Regions from separate parts of the Mus musculus genome. Here region 2 is reported to be linked to region 1. Evidence: microRNA targets listed by miRTarBase, many of them from high-throughput screens and not tested one by one. Region 1 holds a microRNA gene; the other region holds the end of a gene's coding sequence. Distances are between the middles of the regions.
Evidence for each region. Region 1 holds the annotated microRNA mmu-miR-758-3p (UUUGUGACCUGGUCCACUA, at 1,869-1,887, shown strand). A microRNA usually pairs through its seed, bases 2 to 8, with sites in the 3' UTR of a target mRNA and lowers its output. Matches are read on the target gene's strand: a 7mer-m8 pairs with bases 2 to 8, a 7mer-A1 pairs with bases 2 to 7 and ends in A, and an 8mer does both.

Region 2: the mRNA of Dact1 is a reported target of mmu-miR-758-3p. Seed matches in the 3' UTR shown: 7mer-A1 at 854-860.

The regions. Positions count from the first base shown.
Region 1 is chr12:109,710,990-109,714,099 of GRCm38, forward strand. It overlaps Mir758 (microRNA 758), which reads left to right and starts at 1,821; the gene lies at 1,821-1,901. It overlaps Mir380 (microRNA 380), which reads left to right and starts at 814; the gene lies at 814-874. Mir1197 (microRNA 1197) reads left to right here and starts at 1,328; the gene lies at 1,328-1,447. Mir323 (microRNA 323) reads left to right here and starts at 1,519; the gene lies at 1,519-1,604. It also overlaps Mir329.
Region 2 is chr12:71,318,674-71,321,744 of GRCm38, forward strand. Dact1 (dishevelled-binding antagonist of beta-catenin 1) reads left to right here. Exons shown (of 4, transcript NM_021532.4): 4 at 1-1,434. The coding sequence ends at 221. Among named protein-coding and RNA genes, the nearest start is that of Dact1, 10 kb to the left of the region's middle.

The DNA of each region.
Region 1 (3,110 bases):
TGCTCATCATCAAGGGATGCTGCGTGTTTTCATCATCTGCAAAGCTATCATCAGATGCCTTCAAGACATTATGCCCATAGAAGGACAGCTAGGGCTACATGATACAGTGCAAAGACAGATGCATGAAGACACAGTCCCTGTTTCCACTGATGCTTCGTATATAGTATCTTTTTTTCCATATCAAGTCTAGCCTTCTAGAGGAAGATGACCCAGCCTGGCTCCTCCATGTATGCTTACAGATCAAAGTTGCTTCTTGGCTCACTTCTTCTTACCTCCAGCCCAGCCTTGGAGAACTTGCTGAAGATGCTGCTAGCCTCAGAGACAGGGCTCTGGTTCTTGCATCAGCAATGACCTCACGGTACCTGAAGAGGGATCAAGCAAACTGCATGTGTATTATTAACACCATTTGTAACCTGGCCTACTCTTTTCAATATCAACTTCAGCTTTGAAGGTTTCCAAAGAGGCCCCATTAACCTTGGGGGTGGGGGGGCAAGGCAGAAGGACAAATGCCTTGGGGTAGAGGTTGTCCATGCTTCTTGCTTTACTTACAGCGCATGTTAATTTGGTCCACCTTCCCATAATAGTGAATGCGCCTTGGGGGCTTCCTGTGAACAATATTTCCTTAAAGGCACAGTGCTAGTTACGGGGTCTTCTCTTCGCGTCCTTGCAAACTTCTCTTTGCTATATTCTCTGCATCTGCAGCAGGCAATGCATGGTGGTCTCTTTTCAACATTGCATCTAGGGTTTCCTGGAAGTGATAATCATGAGGAAAGAAGCCAGCTCCTGCACCACCCTCTCTCCATGGTACCTGAAAAGATGGTTGACCATAGAACATGCGCTACTTCTGTGTCGTATGTAGTATGGTCCACATCTTCTCGTTATCAAAGTCATTCGTGAGGGTTTTCCAGAGACCGAGCCAACTTCATGGGAGATATCCTGTCCTGGCTTCAGCACAGTACTTGGGGAGATGGTAGACTGTCGAGTGTGTGCGTTAATTCCAGCATGTACAGCATGGTCCACCACATCTCTGCATCAGCCGGTCACCAGGGGCTTTCTGAAAGCCATACCAATTGAGAGTAGGGCTCAGGCGGCAGACCCTATCCAACACAGATTACCCAGTGCTTGGCTACAGGCCATGTTCATTACCTACGACTCTGGCCATTTGATCCAAAGCCAATATTTGGCACCCAGCCCAGCCTTACAGGGCATCCTGGAAGTCATAGTGGCATTAAACATGAGTTTGTGGCCATTGCCACACATGCCGATTGCTGGTAGTTTGTGACACTCATTGAGAAGGCATTTTGGAGGTAACACCAAATTAAGTAAAGTGAGCTGGAATCAGCCAGCGTTACCTCAAGGTATTTGAAGATGCGGTTGACCATGGTGTGTACGCTTTATTTATGACGTAGGACACATGGTCTACTTCTTCTCAATATCACATCTCGCCTTGGAAGACTTCCAGGAGGTGACATCTGCTTTGAGGAAGAGCCAGTGTCCCGGTCTTCCTACTGCTGCTGCTTGGTACTTGGAGAGAGGTGGTCCGTGGCGCGTTCGCTTCATTTATGGCGCACATTACACGGTCGACCTCTTTGCGGTATCTAATCCCGCCTTGCGAGCTTTCCTGGAGCTAACACCAGCTGTGGGGTGGGGACACTAAATGTGTGTGCTAGCGCAACCCAGCCAGCGGGTTTGTCTTTTCTTGTGTCTGACAATAACTCTTGTGTGGCAGCCTTCTTCTCAGCAAATTTCTCTGGCTTGGCAGCTTCGTGGGCAGGGTGACTTGCAGACCAGGAAAGTGGCATCGACATGTGATACACGTGTGGGTGCGTGAGGTGGTTGACCAGAGAGCACACGCTATATTTGTGCCGTTTGTGACCTGGTCCACTAACCCTCAGTATCTAACCTTCCCTTGGAGAACTTCCTGGAAGAGATCTCAACTTTTGGGGACAGAGGCAATAAGCCAGCTGTACGCTGTTAGACTTGGAGACAGCATCCTCAGTACTTGCAACATATGTGCCTGTTATGGTAGTATTGGATGGGCTTCCAATGCTGTCCTATACTTGGATCCCTTCCTTGATATGGGGCCATCCAAGTTCAAGAAACGTACCATGTTGTCAGACATGACCAGGGTGTGTGTATGCCATTTATATATGGCACAGGTCGCAGGTCACCTTAGCACACTTGCATGCTAAATCTGTGGGAGGAATCATCTTTGGTTTGGGGGCATCTGTGCCTTTCTGTGGTTACCCAAAATGGTGGTAAGTCCTATAGCCAGTCTCTACTGCGCCACTGCTCTCTGGTTGTGACATAACTTCAGGATCATGCCATGGAGGTCTGCTGTACTGGGGCATGTGATGGGATGGCTGTCAGATATATATCAACTAATGGCTTGCTTGAGCACTTTGACTAACATCCAGTGTGCAACCCTGCATTCAACAGGCCTGCCAGGTCTGAAGGTCACGTTGGGGAATTACCGAGGTAGTCTTGTCAGTGTTCGCTTCTGGTACCGGAAGAGAGGTTTTCTGGGTCTCTGTTTCTTTGATGAGAATGAAACACACCCAGCTAACCTTTTTTTCAGTATCAAATCCCATCTTGGAGGCTTCGTGGTCCAGATCCCAGTCTCAGGGAAGGATGGTCCTGTCAGCATCCAGCCAGGGGACAGGAATAACTGGTTCTCCACAAAGCCAGCGAGTGGATTATCGTTCTGAATGGTGTCCTTTGTCCTCTAAACCCTCCCAGGCCTGCCAGGTCTGAAGGTCCAGTTTGGGAAGGTGTCATTGTTATTGTTAACTGAGGATGTGGAAGAGGGGTTTCTGTGTTTGAAACACATTTGGTCAACCTCTCTTCCCATCAGAACAAACTATGGAGGCCTTCTGGTCCATACCTCAGCCTCAGCTGAGGACACACTAATAGTTATGAACAAGTGAGTGACGGACAAAACCCATCCCATACATCAGATTTCTGTTGCCTGTGCTTCTAACCTTCAGTATCTTGTCCATTCTCAGGAGGACTTCTCAACCAATATGGTGTTCCAAAGTTGGGGAAGATGGCAGCCACCGAGGCAACTCTACCCCAGGTCATCACAGGTAGGTTGCACCCACTTTGCTTCT
Region 2 (3,071 bases), 38 Mb from region 1:
GCGACTTCGTGGGCGAGAGCACCACCACCAGCGACTCAGAGGAGAGCGGGGGTTTAATCTGGTCCCAGTTTGTCCAGACTCTCCCGATTCAAACGGTCACGGCCCCAGACCTCCACACCCGTCCCACAAAAACCTTTGTCAAAATCAAGGCTTCGCACAACCTCAAGAAGAAGATCCTCCGTTTCCGCTCTGGCTCTTTGAAACTGATGACTACCGTTTGAGTAGCTGATGTAGCGAGTGTCTTCTCCTCCCCCTAGTCTCTGAGAAAAAGAAAAAGGTGTTGTCTTAATATTTGTGTCATACTTAAATGGAATACTTTCCTTTCACTAGGATAAACCCAAGATAAATTATGTCTCGCGGTCATGTATGGACGCTAGTGCCTTTAATGGAAGGTGAAGGATGTATCTCTAGTTAGAAGTGAATATTGAGGTCTTAGTGGTGGTGATAGTGAATGCATTTTGATTATCAGATGTTTCGTCCGAGTGTCTGGCCAAGTACAGGTGTGTGATGTTCAAGTTTTATTTGGATGAGACCTTTTGTTTCCAAGGTTCGTGGATAAAATTTTTAAGCCGTGAACTCGCTCCTTGATCCTTTAGGGCTTTGTCCCTGAAAGGGCTTTCCGGTTGAGGGGCATTGCATACAATTGTGTAGAGTAGGTAGAAAAAACAAACAAACAAACAAAACAGTCATTGCTTTCTGTAAATTTTTTACTATAGACAACACTCTCAGATGTCTCTCCATCCTATTTTCTTCTTAGAAGTACACTTTTTACTGGATTTAGAACTTAGTAGACCAGACTTTTAATCTGGAGGTGGTAAACTGGATAGGGAGACTGATAGGACCTTAAAAGGATTCACAAAAACCTTTGCCACCTGTAGTGCCTCCGCCTTCGTTACAGTAGCCCTTTCATGGGCCATATATCCAGCAGTTTTTGATGCCTTTCTATCTCTCTGCTCCTAATTTGTAGCCAATACAACTGTTTGTCCCTTAGAGGGCTTGTCTTTGGGATAAAGTGTTGGTCCTTTGGTGCAAAGAAATTCACCCTTACTGGGCTTGACTCCAAGCCCAGAATTGCTCTCACCAAGCACTGGCCTGAACAGTAGTGCAGTTCAACCCTCACCGGACCGCTGACTTATCTGGAAGGGCATTACATTTTTTAAAAAAGCTTTTGGTAAACAGTATTGTGTAAAATAGAGTTTTTAAAATACTGATATATGCATGTTTTGTGCATGAGTAGTAGTTCTTTGGATTCCTGTTTTGATATTCCTGTTGCTGAATTACTGTATGATATAAACAGTATGTGTTTTATATATATCATTGTGTAAATTTAATATAACACATTATATGCTGTACTAAATGATTTGTTTTATTGCTGTTAAACTTTGTTATTTGTTATAAAAACCAGATGTTTACACCTATAAATCTTGTGCTGGCTGTTGGTGTTATTTTTGAGATTTACATTAGACTTGTTCTAGAGTAGAATATTATTTGCAATAATTAAATAGGTTTTACCCAGCTCAGAGAGGATAATGAATCGGAAACCTTTTTTTAAAAAAATTAAATTAGGTTTATGAGTTTTATTTTTGTGTGTGAGTGCTTTGCCTGCATCTGTGGATGCGGACCGTGTGTTTGGCTGGTGTGCTTTGCCTGCATCTGTGGATGCGGACCGTGTGTTTGGCTGATGCCTGTGGAGGTCACAAGAATTAACGGGAGTTACTGATGGTTGGAAACTCCTCTGTCGGTACTGAGAATTGGACCAAGGTCCTTTGTAAGAGCAATAAGGGCTCATAGGTAGTAAGCCATCTCTTCAGTCCCCCAAAACATTTCCTTAGTTAAAAGTTGAGGTAGTTTAAGTTCAGGTAATTCTTACCTGTCTTTGTTTTGTTTGTTTGTTTATTTGTTTTCTGAGACAGGGTCTAAACTGTAGCCCAGGCTGGTCTGAAATTCACTATTTAGCACAGGCTGGCCTTGATTTTTTTTTTTTTTTTTTTTTTGGTTTTTCGAGACAGGGTTTTTCTGTGTAGTCCTGGCTGTCCTGGAACTCACTCTGTAGATCAGGTTGGCCTCGAACTCAGAAATCCGCCTGCCTCTGCCTCCCAAGTGCTGGGATTAAAGGCGTGCGCCATCACCACCCGGCTGATGGGAGATTCTTTATGTCTTTCAAATTCTACTTTGGCGTATTAGTGTACCTTGCTGATCCTCGCCTGAGTTACTGCCTTGTTAAAAAATGAAACTGGTTTTCTAAAACCAGTTTCGTCTTCCCCCTTCACTAACATTCTAAGGAAAGAGCTTTCCTTGTGCCTCTCTCTTCCTCATTGAACATCACAACGGGCCTGAGAGAGTCTACATGATAACCTTTAACCGGTTTGCTTGCTTGTTTGTTTTTAAATGTATGTGTTTGAATGTTTTGCCTGCATTTGTGTCTATGCATTCTGTGCATGCCTGGTGCCCTCAGAGGCCAGAAGAGGATGTCAGGCCACCTGCTATTGTTGTAAACAAGAGTTCTTTAGAATATTTCCTTATTTTAAAAAGTTGTGCTCATTATAAAAACAGAACTAGCCAAATAATACTTAAATAATGACAAAAACAAACTTCTTCAATTCTTTCTCAATCCTGCACTTGGGGGATGTGTATCTCCATAAAAACTGTTATATGCAATGTACATATACTAATACCCTTGGCCCTTTTTCATGAAAATGAAGTTTCCAACCTTGTGTTTTATTTTATCATATGCATCTTTCATTTTGTGGATCTCTATGACAGATGTCCCACTTCTGTCCAACGGCCTGGTGACTTGAGATGTCCTCCACAGTCTCAAGCACTTGGATGCTTTGTCCCCAGTTGACGTCACTGTCTTTGAGGGTTCAAGACCCGCACCATTCCAAGTTTACTCTCCCTCTGCTTTTTGCTTGTGGTTTGAGGGGAGAGCTCTTGGCTCTCCCAACCACCATGTGGGCGTGAATGCTGCCAGGCTTCTCCACTGTGATGATGATGATGATGCTCTGGAACCGGAAGCCAGAATAAGCCCTTCCTTCTCTAAGTTGCTTTGGTCATAGTGATGGTGTTTTAGC